Linked DNA regions of Rattus norvegicus. The protein of the gene in region 2 purifies or fractionates together with the protein of the main gene of each other region. This does not show direct contact. Links are inferred from orthologs where the notes say so. Each region holds a gene or a part of one and is shown on either strand. Other genes may lie near its edges.

What was found.
Region 1: the proteins of Trerf1 (region 2) and Dnttip1 purify together in Homo sapiens (affinity purification with mass spectrometry; 3 studies listed by BioGRID and IntAct, with this or other methods). This does not show direct contact. The link is inferred for Rattus norvegicus from reciprocal best matches to the Homo sapiens genes TRERF1 and DNTTIP1.

The regions. Positions count from the first base shown.
Region 1 is NC_086021.1:173,898,675-173,905,883, reverse strand, and holds the start of Dnttip1 (deoxynucleotidyltransferase terminal-interacting protein 1), read right to left. Parts: upstream 4,794-7,209; 5' UTR 4,741-4,793; coding exon 4,636-4,740; intron 4,569-4,635; exon of another isoform or gene 4,487-4,568; intron 4,113-4,486; coding exon 4,042-4,112; intron 3,181-4,041; coding exon 3,084-3,180; intron 1-3,083. UniProt on the Homo sapiens protein: Increases DNTT terminal deoxynucleotidyltransferase activity (in vitro). Also acts as a transcriptional regulator, binding to the consensus sequence 5'-GNTGCATG-3' following an AT-tract.
Region 2 is NC_086027.1:21,133,300-21,139,821, reverse strand, and holds part of Trerf1 (transcriptional-regulating factor 1), read left to right. Parts: intron 1-2,275; coding exon of another isoform or gene 2,276-2,311; coding exon 2,312-2,523; intron 2,524-6,522.

The DNA.
Region 1 (7,209 bases), on a different chromosome or scaffold from region 2:
CTCCTCACAGTATGCCAGTAGCAGCTCTGCTCTCATAGCTGCCCAGGGGAAGTGAGTTGGGAGGTGTACACCTCCTCTCAGTCTGCATCACAGTTGTGGATGTGAAAATACACAAGCTACTGCCTCACTGCTGGGGCTCCAACACTGTCACTTCCTGCTGGGATTATTTCAGTCCCCCTGCAGTCTATTCTCTACATGATAATAATTCTTTTTTTAAATACAATTATATTAACTAATTTATTTCTCACTATGCACGTATTCTCATTGTGTAGCCCTGGCTCATCTAGAACTTTCTCTGTAGACCAGGCTGACCTTACCCACATATCTGCCTGCCTCTGCCTTCCAAGGGCTGGAATCTTGAATTCCAAGGGATTAAAGATTATGTGCATGCCACCATGCCTGGCTTATAAAATTATTTTTAATTATATTTATGTGTTCAAATGTGCTTGCAGAAGTCAGAGATGCTGAAGCTTCCAGAGCTGGAGTTAGAGCCAGATGGAAGCCAAGCCACCTGCCCTGAATGCCAAGAACCAAACGAGGATTCTTCATCCACAGTGTGTGCTCTTAACTCCCAGCCCTCCCTAAAAACAGCCAGTCATTCCTTTAAAGCATTACATACAGAAGCAGGAGAATCAGGGTTTGAGGCTATCCTGAGCCATGTAGTGGATTTTAAGCCTCTTTGAGCTACTTTAAAAGCCAAACCAAACCAAAAATGGTTGGGATTGTAGAGATAGCTCAGGGGTTAAGAGCACTGGCTGCTCTTCCAGAAGACCAAGGTTCAGTTCCCAGAACCCACATGGTAGCTCACACTGCCCATAGACTCTAGCTCTAGGGGATCCATTGCCCTTTTCTGACCTCTGTGTATACCAGGCACACACAGTACATACCTACATATGTAGGCAGAACACTCATAAACATAAAAACAAAGGAGGGGGAAAAACAACCAAAACAAACCCAAAAGCCCAACAAAACCCCTAAACAATCCAGAAGACAAAAACCCAAATGGCCTCAAAGCCTTCACATGATCTGCAGCTATTTCTTTTTATGTAGTCCGAATTATCCTGATACCAAAACAGAATAAAGAAAATTATAACCAAGCTCCTTGAAGAAGAGAGAAGAAGAATTCTCAACAACAGAGTTGCAAACTGATTTCAAGAAAACATGGTAAATATCATGAGCAAGCAGGCTTTAATCCTGAGACATAGGGATGATTCACATTTGCTAATCAATAATGGAATTCATTAAGCAATAGACTTAAGACAGAAATCAAATGATCATCTTACTAGATGCAGAAAAGGCTTCTGACAAAATAAAACATCATTTTGTGATAAAAATCCTGCGAGAGATGGAATGTATCCCAACATAACAAAGGCTACAGATGACAGACCTACAGCCAACATCCTATTAACTACAGGAAACTCAGAACTGAAATCAGGAACAAGACTCTCCACTCCCATTCAGTACAGTAAAGTCTCAGCTACAGCAACCAGACAAGAGAGACAAAAACAAAGCACACAACAAGGAAGAAAGCAGCCAGCGGAGCTTACTTGCAGATGAGGCTTTACACTCCAGAAAACCATGGGATTGACAAGCACTTTACACACCAGAAAACCATGGGATTGACAAGCACTTTACACACCAGAAAACCATGGGATTGACAAGCACTTTACACACCAGAAAACCATGGGATTGACAAGCACTTTCAACAAAGAGGCAGAATTAAAAAAAAAAAAATCAACATTCAAAACCCTACAGCCTTTCTCTACACTGCCAGCAAAGAGGCTGAGGAAGAACTCAGAGAAATCATTCCATTCACAATTATTACAAAATAAATCTTCCAGTAAAGCTTTAAAAACAGAAGGAAATTGGTGAAGACCCTACAGGATGGAATGACACCCCCCTCCACCCCCCCAGCTCATGGACTGGAAGAATCAATACTGTGAATTGGCATTACCAAGCAATCCCCCTCAAAATGCACAAGTGTCTCTAATAAGAACAGGCACCCTAGCTCTGTTTTTGAGTAGCCCAGTGGTCACCTCTTCTTTTCCCTCATTCCCTACCACTGTTTAAAGTGAACAAGGGCATTATTTGTTTTATACACTGTCACCATCTCAGACATGCCTGACAATATGCTAATCATGAGTTACTATTTTTTCCAGTGTTTGGGATCAAACTCATGGCTTTATACTCATGGCTTTAGACTTTTCATGGTCTAAGCAAGGGTGTTGAATACATTAAAATGAAACCATTTGGCAAAAAAAGCAGTGGAAAAGTTATTGGGGTGTATATTCAGAATGGAAGCCTATTTCCTCTGTGTAGCATGCATGTGAACAGAGACTGTTGACAGGAGGAAGGACCATCCTGCTTGGAAGTACCCTCTATCTCCCCACCTCTTTTCTCTTCTTTCTTTCCTGATAGGATCTTTCTATGTAGACCAGGCTGACCTCAAACTCCAAAGATTTGCTTGCTTCTTTCTCCTGGGTGCTGGGATTAAAGGTATGTGCTACCATGCCTGGCTTTTTCTAAGAATTTTTAAAAAAAATTATTTATTATATATATGAGTACACTGTCGCTGTCTTCAGACACACCGGAAGAGGGCATCGGATCTCATTACAGATGGCTGTGAGCCACCATGTGGTTGCTGGGAATTGAACTCAGGACCTCTGGAAGAGCAGTCAGTGCTCTTAACCTCTGAGCCATGTCTTCAGCCCCACCAGGCTTTTTCTAAAAATTTTTCAAAAAATTTTTGTGTATGTACCTGTGGAATTTATACTCCAGGTATAATCTGCAGAGGCCAGAAGAGAGCACTGGATCCTGGACCTGGAGTTACAGGTGGCTAGGAGTGGCCTGATGTGGGTGCTGGGAACTACAACTGAGTCCTGTGCAGGAGCAGCAAGCACTCCTAACCACAGAGGCTGTGTTTTCCAGCCTCCATTCTGTTTTTCCCTCGTCCAAGGGGTCTTACTGTGCTGCCCAGGCTGGCTGTCAGCTGCCTCAGCCTCCTGCATGGTTGGGCACACTGCAGCACCTGGCTGTACGATCTTGTTCAGCAGTGCTGTTGGCTTTAATCACCATGTCCTCACCTTCATGTACTTGTTGAAGACACTCTGGATCTCCTCATTGATGCTAGGCTGCAGGACAGCACGGAGGAGATCCATAGAGATGGCTGGATCTGTGAAACTGCATTTGGGGGTGGGGGTGGGGGAGACAGAATCAGGGGAGTGTTCCAAACATACATTCCCAGATTACTCAGCCAGTTGGCGACATGGGATTTTAAATTTTTATTTCATTGTAACTCTGTGAAATGCAAATTATTTTCCAAGTGTTTTTTTTTTTCTTTTCTTTTTTCTTTTTTTCGGAGCTGGGGACCGAACCCAGGGCCTTAAGCGCTCTACCGCTGAGCTAAATCCCCAACCCTTTTCCAAGTGTTTTATGAACTATAACATATACACATATATTTTTTCTTTTCCTTTTTCTGAGACAGTCACACTATGTAGTCTGGCTGTCTCAGAACTCACTATATAGATCAGGCTGGCCTTAAACTCACAGAGGTCCACCTGCCTCTGCCAAGCGCTGTAATTAGTAAATGATTATTAAATCATTAATAAATGATTATCGCTACCCCAGGTCAAAAATACAAGAATTCCAAAGGCTCATACGCAGTTTTTCCCCTTCCCCAGACCGGACACTCACTAGTAGTCCCCTGTCAAAGCTGAGAAAACAGAATCTAAGAAAAGCTAAAGGCTTGCCCGAATGTATCCAGTTAACAAACATCAGAGTCTGCATTAGAACAGATGCCTGAAACTTGAATTCACAGTCTCTGACTTACAGATCTCAATCGCTGAGATGGTACTCGACTTTTTATTCCTTCTCTGCTTTGTAGAGGAGTTAGGGCAATAACTGTCAAGGTTACAGGAAGTTAGAGCACCGGAGTCTCTCTTCCCCCGATTTCTGTGCTCTTTCTACGTGTTGTTGATCTCAAATTCCTGCAGTTGGGGGTCTCAAAGCACTCAAAGTCCACATAACGGATATCGGTCTTACCTTGTGGTCATCTGAGATCGGCGGCCTCTTCGCTGCACCTGCCGGTGTTTGATCATTATGTTCCAAGGGTTCTGTGGGGACCAAGTGGGCAAATGTCACCGAGGCCTCTCAGAGTGAGGATGAGGAGAAAGTGAGTATGGAGCGAAACCTAGACGTTCCTGCTTCTCACTTCTCCCACCTTGGGGTGAAGGGGAATTCAGTGGCTGGAAGACCCTGTCAGGGTGGAGGAACTGGGAAAATGTTTTCTGTCACCAATGTCCAAATCTCGCTTTTTCTGGAAGAGCAGCAGCGTTTACCGAGGGTCTTATGAGGCGGGTGAGTCAGGACGTTCTACCCGCCTTTATCAGCCCATCCCACCACAACTCCATCAAGCTCGGGTTAATGTTGTTCATTTCACAGAAGAGAAACCTGGCGCCCAGAGGGTGTCACATCAGGCCCAAGTCACCTAACTAGACTCTGAATCCGGGTCGTCACACGGAGAAAACGGCACCCCCAGAGCCGCACAGCCGCCGCGTTCTTTCGCCCGCGGGCCCGGGGCCCGGGAGCCCGAGGCCCTGCCCGGCCCGAGCCCCGGCCTCGCCCGGGCGCCCTCACCGTGAGAACCGGCTGGCCCGCCGCGCCCGCGTCGCCCAGCTCCAGGCCGCCTCGCTCCGCCCCGCCGGGGCCCCGCGGCTGCTCGGTGTCGCCAGTCGCCCCCATGGCGCCCCCGGCCCACAACAACCTCAGCTCGACTCAGTCACCGGAAAGCGGCGCCGTGACGTCACGGGAGCGCCCGAGCCACCCGGCCGGAAGCGGGATGCGGGTGCTCCGAGGGTTGCTATGGGAACCGAACTGCCGCCTAGGAGCCGCGTCTGAGTGGTTTTCTCGATCTTTGGTGTAGGGCACGACGTCGGGGCTTCCGGATCTCTGGGAGAAAAACGGCTGGGGACCGAGTGTGGGTGTTCGGGTCCATTCAGTCAAAGGACGAGGGCGGGTGTGAGGGCAGCAGAGCATACAATTCAGCTGGGGAGCATAGGACTTCGGATGAGGGCAGTCCGAAGTTCAGTCTTTGAAAACCGCAGGAACATCTGAAAACTTGGCCCAGCCTCTCCCGAATTGGAATAGTCCGACTCAGGAACCAGGAAAGCCAACAAAAGAAGGGCTGCTGGTGCCACCCGAAATGCCCAAACACCTAAGCACCCTATCACTAGCCTTTGCGGGCTGCCGCTTGTGTCGGAAGGCAGCAGAATGAAGGTTGGGTTTGGGCTTGCAAACTAGTCCTGTTCTGGAGAGCTGACCTTCTCTCCTCTAGATGGTTGATTCTGGGATAGGTAGGGGACAGAGGATTTAACAACTGTGGCGTTCTCCAGAGCCCCCCTTAGCATTGTCTCAGAGGTGAGCTGTCCGTGAAAGAATTGGATTCATTTACGGGTGATGAAGTTACTCTTCTCGGGTTACAATAAGCGGGTAGCGTAACGTGTACGAGTTTTGTGTGAGGAAAGATCTAGATTCAAATCTGATGTGATATGATCATAAATGCTGGATAGGGCCTGGTGTGATAACATAACCCCAACACTGAGGAACAAGTAGTAGAAAGCTCACTCTGTGCAGCATAGCAAGATACTGTCTCAAAGTCAAAGCCTAAGAACATTGGCTGCGGGACTGGATCACCTACCGTTGTTCTCCTGCGTACTCACTCATTGCACGATCATTCTTCCACAGTCTCAAATGTTCCAGGCTGGACTCAAATTCACCGTGTAGCTAAGGAGCGGCCTTCACCTCCACAGTATGCCGCACCATGTTTGGTTTATGTGGTGCTGGGAATTGACCCCAGAGTCACATGGTTGATATTAGGGCTGGGTTATTTTATACAAAGCACTTAAAACTACGGTACAAGCAACTCCTTAGATTATTCTAATACAATAGTAATTTTCAGCCTCCACTTAAGGACGTTTTCCTTTGAAATATTATTGTGTGGGTTAAAGTACTGTACATAAAGTCCGTATTAGATAATAACAATACCAGTTTTTTCCATGTTCCAACATCCACTTTTTAAAAGGTTTATGTGTACAAGTGTTTTGCTAGTGTGTGCGTATTATGTACATATGTATCTACGTACATACATCATGTATGTGCCTGGTGTCCGCAGAGGTCAGAAGAGGGTATTGGATCCTTTGGAAATAGAGTTATGGATAATTGTAAACTTCCGTGTGGGTGCTGGGAACTGAACCCTGGTCTTCTACAAGAACAACACAGGCTCCCTGAGTTCTGAGCCATCTTTCTAGCCCCAACACCCACCTTTTAACAAGGGCACTTCCTTGCTTTAAATGATGGTGGCTCCCCACCTCCCACACCCTGGGCAAGAGCCTACTCTGTAGCTCTAGGCTGGCCTTGAACTTTGGCTCAAGCCGGTTTTGTAATTTACCTGCCTTTCTCTGCCTCCCAGAGCCTGGAATCACAAGTAAACCCTACCATGCCTGGTTTTGGATCTATGAAGATTTTTTTGTTATTTTGTTTCTACCTATACTCTGCCCCTAACCTTATTGGGCTCGGCAGTGTCAGTGGACACCATTAGACATCAAAGCCAACCGAGGACACACGCTATGCAAATAAGAAGAAACAGGGGAAAAGGAGACAAAGGAGACATGTGAAAGAGTCACAGCAGCTGTCCTCTCTGAGTTTGATGACTGCCCTTCATTTTGTCTAAGAGTGGCATGTGTGGTCTTATGGGGACCAAGCTGCAAACTTTTTGTGCTCTTGTATCGATGCTGAGACACTCTGATGCTGCTTTCCCATGGGTTGTGACAGTTCCCAGAGATGGACAGGAATCGTGCTTAAGTTATATCCTTAGCTCGGCTATTTTCTTCTCAGGTTGTCCATCCAGTTCTTCCCTCTGTCTAGAGGCCCTTCTAGATCCTGTGGACGGAACAAGGAACACAGAGCTTTTTGTTCCCTGTCAGGGTCATTCTTGGCAAAGCCAGCAGTGGACTGGTGCCAGGGCTCTGGGGGGCTGAGACCAGGTTTCCATGTAAGCTGTGGTTAACTGTTCCAGACCCTGAGGTATGGAATGCTTGCTTACCGTACCAGAATACACCTTGCAAAAAAGAAGCTAGAGCTCCCTGCAGTCCTGCTGATTTCCCTGTAACCTTGCTGATTCGTATTCTGCTGCTCCATCCGAGGCTGTGTAAA
Region 2 (6,522 bases):
CTGTTTGTCTAATACAGAGCACATGGATGCTGTTGCTGAGTCCCCCATTTAAAAAAGACTTTGAATCCCTGTTTATATCCCAGGCTGGGCGGGTGGCACACGCCTTTAGTCCCAGCCCGCTGGAGGCAGATTCAGGCTTCTCCAGTTTAAGGCCAGCAAGGACTACAGAGTGAGACCATGTCTCAAAAGAAAGAAAGACATAAAATATTTTATAAAATGTTTTACGAAAAATGAAAAGGCTTTAAAAATAAATACAAGTGGGCCGGTTGGTGGTAGCACAGGTCTGTAACCCCATCACCTGAGAGGCAGAGGCAGGTTTGAGTTGGAGGCCAGCCTGGTCTACAGAGTGAGTTCAGGACAGCCAGGGCTACACAGAGAAACCCTGCCTCAAAAACAAACGAACAGAAAATGGAAGTGTACACATGTTCCATTCCCTTTTCGAGAGCATGAGAAAGACCAGTGTACTGGGTCTCTGACAGCCTGGCCTCCATGCCCTGGCATTGCTATTCTGCCCAAATCACTTCCTGCAGATTAAGATGTGACTTTAAGTGACAATGTTTCTTGGTGAATTTGTTCAGAAACTGGGCACTTTTTCTTTAGGGTACAATAAATGATTGGTTCTCAATTTGGGGGTTTGGGGTTTGGTTTGGGTTTGGTTTGTTTTTTGTGGTAGGGGGGTCATCTTTTACTTTGCCCAATCAGACACGCTCAGCGAGAGAGACATTCTTAATGACTTCTTTAAAAAAACTCATCAAAGAAAGCATGATTGATGGCTTATTCCATGCCTAGCAATGAAGCCTGGGTTCAGTAAATCAGAAATAGATTTTTTTGTAATGCAATAAAAAGGACCCATGAGCTGAACAAAGAGAGGGCATCTAAAGCCACTGTGATGGAATAAAGGCCCTTGGTTTGGAGGGCTGTGGACCATAGCCTAGTACCTCAGTGCCTCTGGATAGAGGATAATTTGGTCCTACAATAACATTTTTTTTAGGACTGGGAAGGCAGGACCTGCATCTGGTGGGTAGGGGCCACAGAGGCCTCTACAAACTTGCTGTGCACAGGACAGTCACCACCTGTCCAGCCCCAAGTATCCTTAGAGCTGAGGCCAAGAAGCCCAGCTCTGTGCCAATATTTGAATCTAATCAGGCATGGTGGCAGACACCCGTACTCCCAGCACGTGGGAGAAGAAGGCAGGAGAAGATGCACTCTGGCTATTCAGTGAGGTGAAGGCCAGCCTGGAGCACAGGTTAGACTAACTCAATGAAGTCATTGGTCTGCATATTCACAGCCAGCCATAGTGATAAGACTTGTAAATCTAGTACTGGGGAGACAGAGGCAGGAGGATTGCCTCGTGTTTAAAACTACAGTTTAGGGCTGGAGAGATGGCTCAGTGGTTAAGAGCACTGACTGCTCTTCCTGAAGTCCTGAGTTCAATTCCCAGCAACCACATGGTGGCTCACAACCATCTGTAAAGAGATCCGATGCCCTCTTCTGGTGTATCTGAAGATAGCCACAGTGTACTTATATAGAATAAATGAATAAATCTTAAAAAAAAAAAAAAAAAACACTACAGTTTAAACTGTATACATGGGTTGGGGATTTAGCTCAGTGGTAGAGCGCTTGCCTAGCAAACACAAGGCCCTGGGTTCGGTCCCCAGCTCCGAAAAAAAGAAAGAGAAAAAAAATAAATCTTAAACTGTATACATAAACTGTGTATAGTAAGTTCCAGGCCAGCCAGGTCTGCAGAATGACACCCTGTCCCCCAAACTATGAGAAAGCCTGGCCCTTTGATTCTCTTAAAGTTTGGGGGTCTTAAACATTGTGGCTTCTGCAGTGTACACGGACTGCAGAGAACATTCATCTAGCAAGCATAAGTAAGACCCAGGTTCAATCCCCAGCATCACAGAAAGCAACCAGACTTAAAACAAGAGCTACCGAGGGGCCCTCTAACTCCTCTCATTTTGCACATAGGGAAAAAAAGAAGTATTTGAAAATCGAGTGGTTTAATGGCCTCTGATATTTGCAACAGGGTTTCAAGTTAGAGCTGGGTGCTAACTGGCTTTGAGACAAGAGCTTTGTCCTTGGTACTAAGCCTCTCGGCCTTTTGCTCTGGTTAGGCCAGTGAAGGAAGTCTTATTGGCACAGTTTGTGGTTGGGGTATCTGAGCTTTGCTTTCTGTGGCACACACCCAGTGCTTGCTTGTGTGAGCCCTGTGCTGTTTCATGTATCCCATGTTTTGCCACCAAGTAACTAACAACCCTAATTTCCTTTTCAGGACTGTAGATGTCATGTCGCTCCCTTTCTTCCTCAGGTGTTCAGCTCCCGACAGGCACTGAATGGCCACGCCCGCATCCATGGCGGCACCAACCAGGTGGCTAAGACCCGAGGTGCTGTCCCCTCTGGGAAGCAGAAGCCAGGTGGCACCCAGAGTGGGTATTGCTCAGTGAAGAGTTCACCATCTCACAGTACCACCAGTGGAGAGACCGACCCCACCACCATCTTCCCCTGCAAGGAGTGTGGCAAGTAAGTACACTTGAACTGGGTATCAAACCCAAGGTCAAAGTGAATGATGGTTCTGTGGGGGCTGTTTTCTTCAGCTGACTTTCAGGACTCCCCTTGATACTACCCGGGAGGTCTGCAGATAGATCTTTTCACTCCCTCTATCCATTCCTCTGCCCACAGCAGACATTACTAATCAATTACCGCATTCTCTAACATCACATCACATTAAAATGCAGCATCCTATCCTTCACATCATAATGATGCATGGTGGCACATCTAGTTGATTGAAGCCCAGGCATTGAGATAAAACCTGCTTTTCATCCTTGTCCCTTTAGATATACCTTAAAACAGCACCTAAGGGAAGAAGCTAACAGTAGGTGAGAAGAGCAATAGCTTTTACTCCACCACATACTTCATGTGTGTGACTTCACTCAATCCTCACAGGGAAAAACTCCATCCAACGCAAGTTGCCTTCATTCTTAGTTTACAAATAAAGATTTTAAGGTCAGGTAAAATGGCTTTTCCCAAGTCACACTTGCCAGGAAAGCAAAGCTGAGATTTAAACCTCGCTATGTCCAGATGCAGCGCCTGGCCTCTCCACGCTGCTCCAGCTTTCTGCCTGGTTTTGATTAGCTACATTGCAAAGAGCCTAACTAGTGTTAAAATACATGGCTCCTTCACAGCTTCCTTCCCCGTCAGTCCGCCTAGCCCCAAGGCCATAGCAATCTCACACACTTCACCTTCATCGTTTGCGATTAAAGATGAGTGCTAAGGGCTGAACCACACCACAACTCAAAAGAGGTTTCTTTGGGGTTGGGGGTTTAGCTCAGTGGTAGAGCGTTTGCCTAGCAAGAGCAAGGCCCTGGGTTCGGGCCCCAGCTCCAAAAAAAAGAAAAGAAAAGGAAAAAAAGAGGGTTTTTTTTTCCAGTGAATCTCAGGGCTCACGGTGTGATCAAACACCCTACAACAGAGATGGGTAGCTGTTCTTTGCTACTCTGTGGGTTCTTCTTTTTCCTGCTCCTATCCCCTCCCCCTTCATCTTCTATCACTAAATCGGAGAGAAAGGAAGGTAGAGAAGAGAAAGAGAGAAAGATCCCTGAATCTAATTTCTTTCTTGTTATTTCTTCTTTGAACATGACTAACATACCACAAGCTACCCCCCTGCTGAGTGACCAACAACCCCCAACCCCATCTCTGGGAGCCCTGGCATTTATACCTTCTGAAAGTTCAGAAACAATGTCAGAAACTGTCTGCAGCTGGCAAAACCACCCCTCTGCCAGAGCAGGAGACAAATCACAGGCAGCAGCCGCAGACAGTCCCAGGCAGCCCCACAGCCCCACCCTGGGATTAAAACGAAAACATATCCTTATAATATTTTTGTGTTTAAAAAAAATTCTAGAATTCTCACTACAGACATGGCTTAGCAGTTGGGAACATCGGTTGCTCTTACAGAGGACCTGGGCTTGCTTCTAGCACCCACATGGTAACGAACAACCGTCTGTGATTCCAGTGCCGGGAGATCTGACGCTGTCTTCTAGCTTCCACAGATGCTGCTCAGAATTACATGCAGGCAGGCTCCCGCTCATATAAAAAATAACAACCAAATAAAAAGAACAACTGTGATAGTAAAATAGTAATAATAATGTATCAGGCAACTTCATGGCATTCAGCAGGGTCCTCCCTGCCTTTGCCTGAGACGGTTTTAAATGGTGTCTTATACTCTCCATTCATTTACTCTTTAGAATAGCCCTGTGAGGGGGTGACGAGACAGCTCAGCACACAGTACCTGCCACTTGCCGACAAGTCCAGATCCCACCTGGGAGATTCGTGACTTCAGAAAGTTGTCCCCTGACTTCCACGTATACAGACATCATGGGAGTGTGTACGCCCATGTGCACACATGCTGATGTGCACACACAATTACAGAAACTGAGGCAGAGGGAAGTTAGGCCTGCAGCTAGGCTGACCTGCGGATGAGCCTCTTATTTAGCCTTCAAAACACTCAGGCTGGCCTGGCCTCTTATGATTCAGCCACTGGGCTGCATTGCCCCTCACACTTAGAGAGAAGAGTGACCTGCAGGCACCCTACTCTGACAAGGAAGCAGCCGAGGCTCAGCTGTCACCCCCTGTTGTCCTGGAAACATCAAGGCCTTGCCAGGCTCCTCTGAAAAGGAAGCAAGAGCCTTCTCTGTAGGAGCGGGATTCTCTGTAGTCCACCAGGTGGAGACGAAGGCCTCCTCAGGCAAAATCTCCACAGGCTGACGGTCCCAAATCTTAAAATCCAAAACTTGGCGAGCAAGCACTTGACACTGCAGATGAAAAGTTCTACACTGGGAAACTTTGTTCTGCTCAGAAAATGAGTGAAAGCCACTCAGTGCTGAGGCAGTGTGCACACCTGTGTCTCCCACACACGTCTGGGGGCTGATGGGAAAGGGTCACAAGTTCAAAGGCAGCCTGGGCTATCTAATGAGAGCCTGTCTCAGATGACACATGAATGGGTGAATAGATGGACGGACGGACGGATGGACGGACGGATGGACATGGGGACTGACGGGAAATGATCACAAGTTCAAAGGCAACTTGAGCTATCTTGCAAGAGCCTGTCTCAGATGATGGATGGGTGTCTCAGATAGTGGATGGATGGATGGACGGACAGATGTAATTGAATTATTTATTCTAGCTAGCTTGTATAAAAGCCATAACAACCTGATATTTTATTTACAAGCCTAGATTGAGTAGGTTCTGTGCCATTCTCACCTGTACCCGAACCGTACGTCCCTGTTAACTTGCTCTTTGAGTCTCACCCGAGCTGCTCCTGCCCCCTCAGCCTGTCCTCAGGGTATACTTTTCCTGGCCAGGGGCTCATGAGCCATCTGATCTCCTGGCAGCCACCTTTTCTCTCCGACCTCTCTCTCCTCCTCTGTCCACAGTGGTCACTACCTGCAGCCCCTAGCCTGGTAACTGATTACCTCTATTCTATACCGCCCACCAGTAACTGTCAGCCACTTCTATTTAACCAGTCAGAGAAGATTGGTGAGCAAACTTTACACAACATGGGAAGTGCTTGTCTGGACTGCAACCAGATCCTGGGAGCCAGTATTTAGCATTCGAATACCAGACCAACCCCCAGCAGATACATACATACATACATACATACATACATACATACATACATACATACATACATACAATGGAAACAGGAGAACCCAGAGTTTAGGGGCATCCTTGGCTATATGGAGTTGAAGGCTAGCCTGAGCTACAAGAGAGCCTGTCTTAAAAGTGGGGGTAAAGCAGTGAGCCTCATGCTTAGCCTTGGGTCCCGTCTGCAGGAAGTTTCACTGTGTGTACAGATCTATAGCGTCTGATCGCTGTGGACCAGAGGGCACTTGCCTCAGGTTTCATGTTCCCGGCTGTCCTTCAAAAGCACACAGCAGGGTTGGGGATTTAGCTCAGTGGTAGAGTGCTTGCCTAGCAAGCGCAAGGCCCTGGGTTCGGTCCCCAGCTCTGGAAGAAAAAAAAAAAAGAAAAAGAAAAAAAGAAAAAGCACACAGCAAGCATTTTTCTCGTCCCTGTACTCGAGATCTTTTCTTTCTTTTGGCTTTATTTGTTATTAGTGTACATATGTGCCCACGTACATGGCAGGACACACATGGGAGGCCAGGGGACAGCTCTGTAGGGTCAGTTCTCTCCATCTATCTGTGGGCCCTGGGGCGCGGGGAAGAACTGAAGGTGGCCAGGCTTTCTCTGCAGACGCTCTCCCCAGCCCTCACCTGCCCCTCCCCAGGTCATTCCCTAGCAAAGTCCAAGCAAGACTTTTATGAAAACTAGACATGTTTCCTGAGGTTTTCCAGAGAGGAACAGCACTGAACAAGTCCACGACAGCCTCTTTCGGCTGCTCAATCCTCTTCATTTCCCACATGTCCAGATAGAAGCCAGCCTCAGGCTGTAGGGCTCAGGCTGGGTCGCTGGACTGGTTGGAGAGTGACTAAATTGTATTTATGCTATTCTTTCTCCATAAAC